Diceros bicornis minor: one gene and its partner. The protein of the gene in region 1 binds, or shares a complex with, the protein of each later gene. Links are inferred from orthologs where the notes say so. Each region holds a gene or a part of one and is shown on either strand. Other genes may lie near its edges. The genes, in order: RANGAP1 and SENP2.

Evidence for each region.
Region 2: the proteins of RANGAP1 (region 1) and SENP2 are in contact, whole or in part, in a crystal structure (PDB 2IO3), measured with the Homo sapiens proteins. The link is inferred for Diceros bicornis minor from reciprocal best matches to the Homo sapiens genes RANGAP1 and SENP2. Residues at the interface, in NP_001265580.1 of Homo sapiens: Glu467, Asn508, Thr511, Thr514, Arg515, Val518, His519, Leu523, Lys524, Ser525, Glu526, Asp527, Val529; in NP_067640.2 of Homo sapiens: Tyr408, His409, Trp410, Val477, His478, Asp495, Met497, Gly498, Gln499, Lys500, Pro536, His537, Gln541, Gln542, Asn544, Gly545.

Annotation. Positions count from the first base shown.
Region 1 is NC_080764.1:9,104,530-9,112,103, reverse strand, and holds the start of RANGAP1 (ran GTPase-activating protein 1), read right to left. Parts: upstream 3,052-7,574; 5' UTR 2,829-3,051; intron 174-2,828; 5' UTR 136-173; coding exon 24-135; intron 1-23. UniProt on the Homo sapiens protein: GTPase activator for RAN. Converts cytoplasmic GTP-bound RAN to GDP-bound RAN, which is essential for RAN-mediated nuclear import and export. Mediates dissociation of cargo from nuclear export complexes containing XPO1, RAN and RANBP2 after nuclear export.
Region 2 is NC_080754.1:38,264,528-38,271,757, forward strand, and holds the start of SENP2 (sentrin-specific protease 2), read right to left. Parts: upstream 3,067-7,230; 5' UTR 3,042-3,066; coding exon 2,719-3,041; intron 1,014-2,718; coding exon 474-1,013; intron 1-473. UniProt on the Homo sapiens protein: Protease that catalyzes two essential functions in the SUMO pathway.

The DNA of each region.
Region 1 (7,574 bases):
GGCCAGCCCCCGCAGGAACTCACCATCTTCTGCAGTGTTGAGCTTGAGGCTCTTGCCTTTGAAACTCAGTTGTCCCCCGGCCACCTGGGTTTTGGCTAGCGTCTCTGCCAGCTTTGCAATGTCTTCAGAGGCCATGTTGGCCACGTTCGTAGGCTCCTCCCGCAATCTGCAAACTGAGGAGGCCAAAGTTTCATTAAAAGAGAGGAGTCGGGCCGGCCCCATGGCATAGCGGTTAAGTGCATGCACTCCACTTCGGCGGCCCGGGCTTTGCAGGTTCGGATCTCACACGCACCGACGGACTGCTTGTCAAGCCATGCTGTGGCGGCATCCCATATAAAGTAGAAGAAGATGGGCACAGATGTTGGCCCAGGGCCTGTCTTCTTCAGCAAAAAGAGGAGGATTGGCATCAGATGTTAGCTCAGGGCTAATTTTCTTCACCAAAAAACAAAACAAAACAGAGGAGTCTCCTGGGGCCCCCTGGTTGGGAAAGGCAGGATAAGACATCAGCCTGACCCCACCTCCTCCTGCTATGGAGACCCCAAGAGCTAAACCACTGGTAGAAATGAAAACAGCATTAGAGGAGGAACAGTCTAGAAAAGTGGAGAAGGTAGCAAGAAAGCAGAAAAATCATGTTTAGCCTCTGAAGAGTTACAATTTCACTACACGTCCTCCTCTGCCAACTGCCCCAGCTGGGACACCTAGCAAAGCCATGTAAAGTTGCCCAGTTCCTGGGCCCCCAGTGAACGGCAGCTGAGTCCCAGGCCCACAGCTGCAAAGAGTCTGCCTCAAGCACACACCTGTCTGATCATCTTGACTGCTCTCTGTTTGAGGGTCCCATTCCTCAAACAGGACATAGATGGCTACGGGATCCAGGTCATCCATCCCAGAGAATGCCCCACCACCCACACTGACATGACTCTGGGGGTGGGGCCCAGGGGTCAGCCCACTGCACGTCTGGTTTCAACCCTGGCCAGGAGACTGGGCAGCCCATGGCAGCCAGACCTCAAGGGCTCCTAGGAGACCTGAGATCTCTACATCACAACAGTCACCATCACAATAGACCAGAGGCAGAGCTGCTGGAAAAAAGAGCTTCCAGCCTGGAGCTCAGCAGACTGGAAGAAAGGACCACTCAGTTTTCCCAAAGAGGAAATGGCAGGTGATCAACAGAGACCAAGAAAGACTGATACAGGGACAGAACCAGGAGGTGCCCACCGAGATGACTTCTTATCCTGAATGCCTAATCCCCGAATCTACTCATCAAGATACAGTTGTGATAGCTCCCCACCCTCCTACTCCCGCAGGCTTCCTCTGGGCTCAAACAGCCAGGTTCCCACTCCCTTCTCCTTACCTGAATCCTCACCACCCTGGTTTGTCTGTCTATACATCTTTAGCAATATGCATGAATTATTCTTCTAGGTAAGGAGACGTCCATTCACTCATTTAACAAACATTTATTGAGTACTACTGTATGCTGGACATTGTTCCAGGTAGCAGGAGTACAGCAGTGAATAACACAAAAACCCTGCCCTCTTCAAACATATGTTCTAAACAAGATATTTAGTATCTTAGCCAGTGATAAGAAGAAAAACAAACAAGGAAGGAAGGCAGTAAGAAATTTCTTGGAGGGGTTGCAATTTAAAGTAGAATAGTTAGAGAAGTTATTATTAAGAAAGAAACAAAAACTTGACAGATATCAGGGATTGGGCCATGCAGATATCCGGAGGAAGAACATTCTTGCAAAGGGAACAGCAAATGCAAAGGCTGTTGTGGGGGATGGGGGTGGTTTAGAGGTAATGCAAGGAGGCCAGGGGGGCTGGAGCCCAGAGAGGGATGGGGAAAGGAGGCAAGAGATGAGAAAAGAGAATTAACAAGAGGACTAAGTCACAAAGACCATTTTAAGAACCATGGTTTTTACTGTGAGTGACAAGGAGAGCCACTGGAGCGTTTCTAGCAGAGGACAGACGTGATCTGACGTTGTGTTTTTGCAGGATCACTCTATCTGCCACATAAGGCCTGGCATTTAGAAGGTACTCCAAGAATGACGGGCTGAAACTGAATAAAAATTAGCCTGAAACCCCACCACCTCTTGCAGTTAAGCGACGGGACAATTTGAGGCTAGAAAAATGGTGGTGGGGCCTCTGATGGAATAGGAACACAGAACCTCTCAGCTGGAGTGGGGCCCATTCCTCAGACAGTACACACACACACACGATCCACTTTAAAGACTAAGAAATCGAAGCACAGAGAGGTGAATGGATTTGTCCAAGGTTTGCAAAGGGTCAGCGGCAGAGCAAAGACAAACGGTACACACAGTCCTCTCCCTTCTCGGCAGAAGCGTCGCAGGCTTCCTTAGGCGCACACCCATGGCTCCTGCGAAGCGTTCGCAGTGACTCACGCCGATCCCAGGCCCTCCGCGGGGGTGGGCCCCTTGGCAGGCGGCGACGAGGCAGCAACGCGCGAGTGAGGGCGGCAAATGACAGACGGGCAGCGCGAGGCCCATCTGGGCGCCCCGGCGGACGCACACCGCCCCTAGTTGACACCGACGCTAACAGGAGACGCCACTACTGGCAGCTGGGGCTGGGCGGCCCGGGCGACCGAGACGCCCTCTCTAATCCTTAGTTTCCCTGCTTGTGACAGGGGCCAGAGCCCCCCAGTACCCCCACTCCCACCCGCTCCGTACTGGGCCGTCGAAGGCTCAGGGGAAAAGGCCGGGAGCGCGCAGAAGGCGCTCAGGGGCGCCACGCCTCCCTCGCCCAGTTCCAGGGCGGCGCCGCCTCCGCCCCCATCCCAGGCAGGTGACGGGCAAAGGAAAGAGACCCCGACCCTACCGTGAACAAGCGGCGGCGCCGCCGCGTGGGGCGACACGAGCGCGCGCGTTCGCCCGGCGGGGCGGGGACTGATTTAGGGTCCGGGTCAGGTCAGGTCGGGGTAGCCGCCTCCGACTCCAGCGGTCCCGATGCCCAGCCCGCCCGTCCGTCAGCTCTCCCGGTGGCTCTCGCCACTCGCCTCTGCCTCCGACACCACCTGCTCTCCGCACGGCGGCGGATGATGGCGGAGGAGGAGGATTTTGAAAGCCGGCAGTTTCTTTCCTTTGATTTGATTTGTTCAAGGCTCAGGCCGGCTTCCCTTCCCCCGCGCGCGTGGCCTGTCGGGCATGGTAGTCCAGTCCTCCAGCGCGGGCGCGGCAGCAGCGCGCTCTCGAACTACCAGTCCCGTGATGCACCGCGCTCCACAGCACCTCCGCCCGCTGCCTCTTCGCCCTCCCTGTTCGGCTTCTGGCTCTTTCTCGGGGAGACCACAGGGCGGCGTTTAGCAGCGAGCTCCCATGGAGACTACAATTCCCTTAATGCCTTGCGGCCTAGCTGTCTCAGCTTTTCCGGAAGGGTTAACGTTCACGTAACTTTATTGACAAGGCTGGTACTGTGGAAGGCATGCTGCTGGATCTTTTCAGCAAGAAATGGGTATCTATTTCCTGAAGGGAAAGCCTCGCCTGTTTTGACCCATGAAATTGAAAGGACATTCGAAGCCTTCCACATAAATAGCCACAAACTAATTGATAATTAAAAAGGGAAATAATAACCCTATAGTAGAGAAACTGCGACACCACCTTAACCGAGTGGTCCGTATTAACATCAATGACAGGACAAACTGACATCCATCGCACACCTTCCGATGTGATGCACTGAGAAGGACACAGCATCACCATCTAGCAGCAATGCATAAAATTAATTTAATCATGAGGAAACAGACAAACACAAACTGAGTCACGCTGCAGAGTAACTAGTCTATACTCTTCCAAAACTGTGTCATGAAAGACAAAAGAAAAGCTGAGGAACTGCTGCAGATTAAAGGAGACTAAAAAAACATGACAACTAAATGCAATACATGGTCCTAGACTAGATCCAGGAGTGGGGGGAGGGAACTACTATAAAGGGCAATATTGAGACAATTAGCAAAACTTGACTGTATATTAGATAATAGTATTGTATCAGTGTTAAATTTATTGATTTTTATTATTGTACTGGATTATGTAAGAGACTGCCCTTGTTCTTGGGAAATATATGCTGAAATAATTAGGGGCATGTCTGCAAGTTACTCTCAAATGGTTAAAAAAATGTGTACATATATTTACAGGGTGCAAATGTGGCAAACTGTTAATAATAAGTGAATCTGGGTGAAGGGTATTTGGGAGGGAATTTGAACATTTTTGCTACTTTTCTGTAGGTTTGAATTTTTTTTAGAAACACAAATAGCTTTTTTTTTTTCTTTTCACAAAGAACTTTTTAACCCTTATATAAATAACGTGTTCATTATAAACACTTCAACCAATATAGAACAGGATAAAGAGAAAGTAAACATTACCGGGAAACTCTCACCTAGAGATAATCACTGTCAACACGTGTGGCCTTCTTTTCCAAAGTTAACTCTCACAGCTCGGCCCACACACATGCTTTTGCTTCACCTGCGATTCAGAGTTAAATATATTATGTGCCAGATCCTTTCACATTCAGCTAATTTAATCTTTACAACCACAAAGGAAGTGGGCATCATTACCACCCTTCCCAGCACAGAGATGAGAAAAATGAACCTGGTTCACGGTTCACACAACTACTGAGATGTGAGTCCTCTCTTCACCCTCCCTCTCCTTCTCTGCCTACAAGGCCCATATCAAATGCCACCTCCTCCGGGAAGCTTTCCTACAGGACTCCAGTCAGAATAAGTCACCTTCTTCTGGGACTCCATAGCAAGCTGAAAGCCCCCTCAGCAGTTGGTCTGCGGCTCTGAGGGCTTTTTCACAGTTAGAGATAACAGTCTTTGTTAACAGTATTCTTGGCAGCTTCCTTCTCAACCTGGGAGAGCCTCGAGGACAGGTACTGTATCCATCTTGGCAGCATCCTCTCAGGGCCTCGCCTGTCATAGGTGCTTCAAGTTTCCTCATTTGAACTGGATTCCAGTCAGGGTCACCGGACATTTGCTTAAAATGATTCATCATCTGAGAGGCTGAAATGCTCCCAATCAGGCCTGATTCTATTCCTGTGCTGGTTACAGCTAGGACTGGTCAAATCAGTCTGATTTTCCTTGGGATGATCTCCAGGCTCCCTTTTCCAGTTTTACTTCCTGAGACTTTCCCTGGCCCTCTGATGGGAACCTCCTGAAGGGGAGAGGAAGGCAGGTGGTAGGACATCTTAGACCATCTTCCCCTTCCTCGTCCAGCTGATGGATCATAGCGTTTTTCAGAACTGGAAGGGAATTCTTAGCAGAAACTCAATAGCCTTCAAGGGCCAAGGAGGTAATAGGAGGTAATGGGGGCCCGGCCAGGCTCGTGGAGAGCCAGAGAGTAGATGTTCTGCCTGAAAGTGTTCACATTCAAAGCTAAAAATCACAAACCCAGCCTGACAGCACCCCTTAGCAATGCAGATTCCGTTTGGATCTAGATTTTATCTCAAAAACCTTTAAAATGGGGAGACTGGGTTTAAAAAGGAGAAGGAGGTTTGCACAGTGAGTCAGAAGAGTCCAGAACCATGAGTGTTTCCAAGCAACACATTTGTCATCTTCTCTCCCTCTCTCCTTCCTTTCTGCAACTCTCTTTCTCTTTCAAGTATCACCTGAGAGCTAGTCGGTTTGCCTGGCCCAAGAAGTGGAATCATTGCCTTTGTCAGATGGATAGCCATCTTAGGCCACCTCTTTCGTCTTTTCAACAAATGAAGAACTGAGGCCCGGAGAGGTCAAATAACCCACCCAAAATACACAGTAATTTAGAAAAGAGATAGTAGAAGCCAGATCTCTGGGACCCTTTTCAACACGCACACAAAACAAGTCACTTTGTGAGTGTGAGCTGGGTATGGGGGGAGAAAGGAGAGGGGAGTGTTCCAGACCTTTCTCTCTCTGTTGTGCAGCTTTTTATACAAGAATGTTTTGAAGAGAAAAGCAGGCTGCCTCTGATTAGTTTGGTTTACGTTAGCTGAGTGTTTTAAATTCCATTCTGGTGACTGAAAACAAACTTAATTGCCAATCGTAAATGGAATAAATAACAATATTTATGCTGGTTTCCTGAAGAGCTACCAAGGCTGCAGACTTGCCATTTAGTCAGATCAAAAACAAATGCCTGAAGTATGCCAGGCACGTGAGGAATGTGGAGAGAAATTCCCAAGGTCCAATCGGGTGCTCGCCTTGGGCCCCTGGAGAGAGGTGGGTAGGCCTGGCCTACCAGCCTTGCAAGGGAGCCTGCCCCTTTATCCCCAAGGGTCACCTCCCCTGGTGGGAGGGGGTGGCTACATCATCTATTAAAGACAACTCAAACCACATTCTCCCCTGGGTTCAAGCCCAGGGCCCCCTTAATTATTTTTTTAACCTCCATAAACAACCATAATTAAAAGAATTCATTCACTCCACAAATAGTTATCCATCATCTACTATGTGCCAGGCACTGTTCCAGCTCCTGAGAATCCAGTGATGAATGAAAGAGGAAAGGATGGTATCTGCTGAGGAGCTTCACTTCGAGTCTAACATTTACAGAGGGTTTCCCGGTACCAATTGCTTTTGGTAGATTATGTTCTCTTTTAATAATTCTTTTGTTCCAAAATGGAAATCATTTTTTAATGAAAATTGACAGTCATGTAAAAAACATTAGTATAAACGCAAAAGAGCATAAAGAAGAAAGTTAACAATTACCTGTTTTGTTTTTAACCAAAATGTGATGTGGATTGATGGGTGGATGGATGAATATGTGAGAAAGCAAATACAGCAAAATGTTAACAATTGTATAGTTCTTTCAGCTTTCTGTATGCTTGAACATTTTCATAATAACATGTTGGGAACCATGTTTTATCCTCTGCATGTCATCTACTGTATTACAGTCTGGTGGCTATCTCAGTCTCTAAACTCCTGAGTCCTCCTCTTCTCTTTTTTTGAGTCACCTTCACCTTTGAGAGTCTGAATTCTATGGACTGTTTCCCAGAAGAACGTATTATTTATTTGTTTATTTTTTTGTGAGGAAGATCAGCCCTGAGCTATCATCCATGCCAATCCTCCTCTTTCTGCTGAGGAAGACTGGCTCTGGGCTAACATCTGTGCCTATCTTCCTCCACTTTATATGGGATGCCGCTGAGGCACTGCTTGTCGGGCCATGCCTGGGATCCGAACCCAGGCCGCCAGCAGCAGAGCGTGCGCATTTAACCGCTGTGCCATGGGGCCGGCCCCCTTATTTATTTTTTAATCACACACTTGTCAATGCTCTGTATGCAGGAACTCACTTAATCTTCACAGTGACCCTGTGGAGAAAGTACTCTTACTATCCCCAACCTAAGCCTCGAGTTGTGCATCTATCTTCATGGTCCTTCGCTAAATCCCAAGTTAAGATTCCTTGCTGGAGGGCTGGGACTTGGGACTATACTGGAGCTGTGGGGACATGGGGTTTCTCTGCAGTCCCAGGACCCAGCATGGGGCCTGGCAATGAATGTTTGCTGAGTGAGTGAATGAACACGGCACATGGTCACACCTAAGGTTGCCATGCGTTCCAGCTCTCCCCAGGAGATAACGAGGCATTTCTGGGGGCCGGGCCATGGCAGGCCTAA
Region 2 (7,230 bases), on another chromosome or scaffold:
GGTGCTAAGAGAACAGTACTAGCAGTCAAAACGGCTTTGGGCAAGCTATGAATTTCACTTCCTTTAACTGCACTTATTACCCACAGATGACACTTGGGAGTGTGCTTTGTAAACAGTGAGCCACAACAAAGACAGTATTCCTTCAATTTTTAATTTTCAACCTAAGAGCAGCAAAGTATGATAAAGCCGCATTTGTTGACAGCAACCAGCCTGGACTCTGACAGGAACATCAAAGATCCTAACCATCACCGGCCACTCCAAAGACAACCAGCTGGTTCCATCAACAGGAGTCGCATCCGCACACTGTGGAGAGAGCGACGTCACCAGGACACCCGCGACCCGCACCTCTCCAGCCTCGGCCCCCCAACTGTTTCGGCTGAGCAGGGCCGACCTGGCTGGACCAGCGCTACCCCGGCCGAGCCCGGGTGGGCGGGGGAGAAGCTAGGCCGGCGCTCAGCCCCCTCTCCTCTCACCTGTTCGAGCGCCGCCTCTTCAGGAGGGCCCGGGCAGGGGGCACCGGACGGTCACAGAAACGGAAAATGGTGCCGAGAATCCTAACCAGCCATTTGTACATACCAGGCCCAAGCAGCAGCGGCGGCCGACACACCCCGAGACGCAAACCCCAGAGCTGTCGCCGCCGCTGCCACCTTCGCCGCCTCGGCCACCACTGCCAAGGCTCAGTCGCTGACTTGTGACGCGGACCAAGGGCCCACAGATACAACGTCCCCAGGGCTACAGGAGGCCCCCACCCGCCACCGCTCCTGACGTCACCTCCTCCCGCCCGACCGGAAAGCATCTTCGTTCTCAATCTGCGCACGCGCAACCTAGGACCCCACCTCCCGAGCCTAGCAACCAAAAATGCCTGCGGGACAGTCCCGGTCCAATCGCTGACGAGATCGAAAGGGTTGTGGGCGGGGTTTTCTTTGGCGGAGCCAGTCCTGAGACGGCTCGCGGGACAAGACCCACAGGCCACACGTGAGGCATCTCCATCCGGGAGGGAGCTCTCCGGGGGTCTGAAATACAGTAGGTGCTCAGTAAATGTTTGTTAAGTGCACGAAATAAAGGTAGGTCAGGTTAATTAACAAATGTTTACCCTGCTAGGCGCCCTTTACTTTGCATATACCTTATGCCTGGTACTTTACATGCACTGTCACCTTCATTTCTCCCAGCAACCGCAGGCGATGGGGAGTCTGTGCCCACTTTTAGTAAATGAGGAAATCATGGCATAGAGCGATTAAGTAATTTGCCTACGGTCACAAAGCTGGCTAGTGGCATAGCTGGAATTTGAACCGGAGTCTGAGTACCAGCGCCAGCTCCTTGCCCTTGAGGTCAGTCTACTGGGAGAGACATAATTACAAATTACAATACCAGGTAATTGGCTGCTGTGATAAACGTGTAAGCGAAGTACGGGGGAAGGGAAGGGCACAACTCAAGGAAGTCTTCACAGAAACTTAAGGGTGAAAATGTACCTGTAGCCTACTAGTACTTACTAGTCCCCTCCCCTGGGCTGGCAAGGAGTGCTGCTAATTACTCTCCCTCTGTTATCTAGAGGTCACACTTCTGGTTATCAACAACAGAAAATGTCCCACCCTACTTGGTAATAGAAAATCCAGTCCCCTCCCCAAACAGTCCTGGGAATCCTCAAAGTTTTCCATGCCCCGCAGATCCAATCCCTGACTACACTTGATCCTTACCTGTGATTCTGTTAAGACCAGACTTCCAGACTGACTTGAACTTCAACACAAGCACTCCCTAGTACAGCCTTATCCTTTGATCAATAAACAGTGTTCCAGAATTCTGCTGCAAGCCACCCCCTAGAGCTCCAGAATCACCAGCTACACCTGTGGCTACCACCACTCTGACCTGGGAAGATGGGGGACAGTTCCTAGAAGGTGGAAGCAAATCCTAAGTGTGGACATAGGCCCCTCCCTTAATTCCCCCAAACATACCTAACACCGGGCTGTTATTGAAAGTTTGGGAATAAGAGAATTACAAAGCTGAGAAGATTTAGAAGTGGCTGTTACAAGTACAGCGTTTATAGCCCATAGTCCATTGCCTCCCAAAAGGACTCTTCTCCCCTGGAGGTAATTGCTCCACTCTTCTCAACATCTTTTACCAGCCACCAACAGAAGAGAATTTCCCCTCCACCTCTACCCTAACCCATTTCAGGCCAGACACCCAGTTAACTTAAAAGAAGACTATGGTTGGCATTCTTATTTAGAGCAGCTCACCTGTGTCCCAACTATCCATTCCACTATAAGACTTGGTCTTTGCTTTTGCCAAACCAAGAAGACCACTCAAGTATTGAGAAGAGATTCCCCAAAACAAAAGAGCAAGCTTCGTTGAAAACATAAATCAGAAAACTGCAAGCTGCTTTAGGATAGCAGCTGGTCTCAGGTTCTGGCCACCAAGATTTAAGAAGTATTGGCATCCCGTCTCAGAGCACTCGAGTACAGTACCAGAGCACAATATTTTTTCTTTTCCTGCCTTATTAATAGCACGTGCACATACTCAATACTGAAATGTCGGTAATCCGCCATGAAAAGTGGGAGGGCTTCGGAATTACAGACCTCAGTCTGAATCCCTGGGCCTCATCAGCAAACAGTAAGTCATGAGTGTGGCAGCTGCCAGCCTCCCGCACACAGACACCCCCTTTGTGTCCTCTTAGTGCCTCCAGTTGCCCTCTGAAACGGAGAAAAAAAGGGGACTCAGCCTTACTGTCGCTCCCGCCTGGGACTCGTCTGCCAGTTGGTGCCTTCGCAGTCCTCTTGTCCACAGTAGGGGCATGGGCCACTGCCCGTCCACTGGGCAAGGAGTGGGATTATCCTTAACCCCAACCCCAGCGCTGTCGCAGCCATTCCCGGACCCAGGAACTCCTCACCGGAGGGCCGGAGGAGAATCCCAAAACCATGTGGAGTAACAAGGACATTGAGATCTCCGCCCTTGCTCTGGATAACTTGCGCCCTTGTACCGCCGTAGGGGCATGACCTCATTGCTGAAGTTTTCATAGGGAATCCCAAACGATTGCCCCAGTTTTCCATAAAGATCCTCGTTGTCCTCCTGCTAAGACCTTCTCCTTCAAGCCTTTCCAGGGCCCCTCCCCCATCTTCCTCAAAACCTACCTCCCCTTCACGGAACAGTAAAGACCCACCCCTGCAGTCCATTCTTTAGTCTTGCAAATTTTCCCTTTGCCAGCATTCTCGGAGTGTTAAAAGATTTCCTCTCAGGGCCCACCTGGTGGCATAGTGGTTAAGTTCACGTGCTCTACTTCAGTGGCCCGGGGTTCGCAAGTTCGGATCCCTGGCACGGACTTATGCACCACTTATCAAGCCATGCTGTGGCAGGCATCCTGCATATAAGTAAAGGAAGATGGGCACAGATGTTAGCTTGGGGCCAGTCTTCCTCAGCAAAAAGAGGAGGATTGGCAACGGATGTGAGCTCAGGGCTAATCTTCCCCCTACACCCCCCAAAAAAGATTTCCTCTCAACTTTGTCTTTGCTGATCCCTGTCAGAAAGGGGTTCTGGGCCATTTTATGGAAGAGGGTAAGAGCCTATAGATGAGATATTGTTGGTTTTGGCCTAGTGTGCCTAAAATCCAACAGAATTCACCACCCTGAAGATTAATTTCCTTCTGGGGACCAACTCTTCCGGTACTCAAGGAAAATGTATCCTCCTAATAAGGTGACTTTGATCTTATTCAATCTGTCTAATAATAACCTTGGCCTTATTATGCCAAAAGCAAGTGCAGTTCTTTCTTGCCCTAGATTTTATTACAAAATTTGCTCACATTGATTTCGTATGGCTCTGCCTGCCTCATGTGGAGAAACAGCACCAGGCCCTACCTAAGCTTGTTTCCTAACCTGTAAAATAGAGTCAGTCAAACCTGCCTCTCAGATCTGTGGGCCAATTAAATGTGTTTCTGTATGTGAAGGACCTCCTTCAATGCCTAGCAGAGGTAAGTGCTTAATGTTTCTCTTCTCTCTCTTTCCTTCTCCTATCTAACAAGTCATTTAACTTGCCAATTCCGCATTTTACATTTTCCATAATCTGCCCCTTCCCCTCTCCAAACCCATTGTTAACCGGATACCCGCCACACAAGAGGGGCCAAATAAAAACTGGAACAAGGAAAGAGTTTCTATTTTGGGTAACGTCAGCCAGGAGACGAGAGCTCTCAAATTTGTCCCATCTCCCCGAAAGATGGGAGGCAAGGGGTTTTAAAGGTTGCAAGGGAGAGCCTGTGCTGGGGTTTTAGGTAAGGGAGAGGGAGCACATGGCCACGCTGGTTGGCACCTTCCCACCAGCCTGCTTTTGGCCTTGAGGACTCAATTTCTTTCCCTTGACTGTCTGGGCTTCTCTGGTTAGTTTTCATCTTCAGCCTGCATGTGGCCTTGTGAGGCTGACTCTTGATGTCTGGACCTTGAATTCCTGGGAAAGACAGCTTGTTCATATACTAAGGAGGGACAGAAAGACCTGGTTAGTTTTAAACAAGTTGATTATGCTGAATATGCACAGCTGCAGTTAGCAAAGCTTATCTCCAAGTTTTTGCTCTCTGCTGCTAGCGCAGGGAAGATTTTTAAACCTCTTCGTGCTCGGTTTCACCATCAGAACTACTGTTGATCATGACCTGATAATTTCTCACACCATTGCAATAGCCACCTCCTCTTCTACCCTGTCCCTCTTCTATCTATTTTCAGGGTAATCTCTCTCTTTTTGTCTTTTGTTGTTGTTGTTTTGTTGCCTTTTGTTGTTCTTGATAAGGAAGGTAAATATGTTGTTGTTCTTATTTATTAAGTAAACTTATAAATTAAATTTCTGGTTTTCTGTTACTGAAACGTTAAAAATGGTTACGTTAATTTTCACCAAATTCCGGAGGTTTGTTTGGAGTGGTCTGACTTAAAATATGGGGCAAGCCTAAAATTTACTGTGGATGACCCTAGGGAGAACCTTGAAAAGAGAGACAGGTATCTCTAGGAGCAGCTGAAATGGAGGTGCAGCCAGAAGAGGAGGATGCCACCAGATGAGAAATACCCTGCTGGGTTAGACAGCATGAGCCCCTCAAATGGTTCACCATGGTTCCAAATGGGAGCCCATGTCAGACGTCGCAAGGATAGACCTTGCAAATTACAGGAATTTTCCCGTAGAGTTGCTTCTCACACAGACAACTCTGTGTGCCTGCTCCAGGGAATAATTGTCTAATGAAGGTGCAGGATTCTCATGACCAATGCTTGGGAAGCCAGCGAAGTTAAAATGAAAATAGAAATCTGATTGTAATAAGACTGTTTTAAAACAACAGTTTAGGGGCCAGCCCTGTGGCTTAGCAGTTAAGTGCACGCGCTCAGCTGCTGGCGGCCAGGGTTCAGATCCCAGGCGCGCACCTACGTACCGCCTCTCTGGCCATGCTGAGGCCGCGTCCCACATACAGCAACTAGAAGGCTGTGCAACTATGACATACAACTATCTACTGGGGCTTTGGGGGGAAAAATAAATAAATAAAAATTTTAAAAAAATTAAATAAAACAACAGTTTAAGATCCAGATAAATCTAAAATACATAGTATGGATGGATGTTAAATGTTGAGCATTCCTCTGAAATTTTTGTTGACTTTTTTAAAAAAAAGTCATTACATGCTAATGAACTTTTAGTACGTAAAAGCATTTTGCCTCTGTCTTGCCAGTGTGCATACAGGCCTTGCTAGAGCAGTCTCTCCTTGAAATGTCTGAGCAGCACTCTGAAAACAAGCAGTTACTGAAAGCACTGGACTTACATTGATTTCATTTGATACACTGTTTGTAAGGAAGTCTCCGTTTCTAAAACAAAGTAGCTCTATTCCATGAAAAGTATTTCTTAAGCCAGAAAAGTAGAATGCAGTTCTTGTTTTGTAATTAACTATCAAAAAAAATTGTTCATATAATAATGTTAATAAGTTAACCTAAATATATTATCTTACATATATTAATATTATTTATTATGTTTTTATATTATATATGATTCTAGTACATATTATTTATTATATTTATTTGTATTGTTATATAATCATAATATATTAACATATAAATAAGTGAACAAGAAAAAAGGTAGATTCCCACTGCCTTGAAGATAAAATCCAATATCCTAAGCATGACACAAAGTTCTTCAAAGCCTGTCTTCAAATTACTTTATCATTTCCCTATTCATACACACCAAACTCTCAATCCACACTTCTTTTATGCCTCCAAGTTTGTTCCCTGTCCCTGGAATGCCTTTCCACCACCTTCTTCACCTCTTCAACTCCTACCTACTCTTTTGAACCCAGCTCAGAAGGCACCTCCTGTGTGAAGCTTTTCCAATGGCTCCTCCCTCTGGGATTCCCATCATCTTATTGCTTCCTTCTTGGTTCTCCTATGGGATGTGTATCCATATGTCTATATTAGTATTATTATGATCATTAATGTGTCTGTCTCCTTGAGGGAAGGAGCTATCTCCTATTTTTTCCTTATTATTTTTTTAAATGAAAGTTCAAGAAATGTTCAATAAATGAAGGAATGAAGAAATGAAACAAATATATGAATTTGGGGAAAGTTACCCTGATCTACTTGTAGAATATGAATCAAGGGAACAAACTTATCTTCCAGACTTGGATCGCAAGTGAGAGATTCCAGGGTCACTGATGCGGATAAGAAGACAAAAGGATGTTACAGTGAGTCATGTACTAGCTTGGAGACATAGACCAGGGTGGGAGAGGACATAGGTCATTGGTTGAAGCCAGCGAGAGTTATAAAACCAACTCCTCTCAGTTCCATTAACTTCCATACCTGTTTTTCCTGTCCACGCATTTGAAAGCTTACCCACCCCTTTCTACTCTGCTCTCTGTAGCAAGTGATTTCTAGGTTAAAGAAAAAAAAAAGCCAGTACGTTATTGTACATTCGAAATGAGGGAAATTGTGGTATTGAGAAGTGATATTATGATATTGCCCTTCTTGAGTTGTGGTCATTTATCAAGGTCACAGTGTTGAGAAAATTAAGCATTCTTTACTCTTGACTAGCTGATGGTAAGTAAAGAAATGGTTTTCCTGAGCACCTTTGAATAAATCTTAACATTCAAATGGTTATGAGTTGGCCTCTCTTTTGGAGTTTTTAAAAACTTTTATTTTGAAATAATTATAGGTTCACAGGAAGCTGCAAAAATAGTACAGGGATGTCTCATGTACCCTTACCCAGCTTCCACCAGTTGTAACATCTTACATAGCTAGA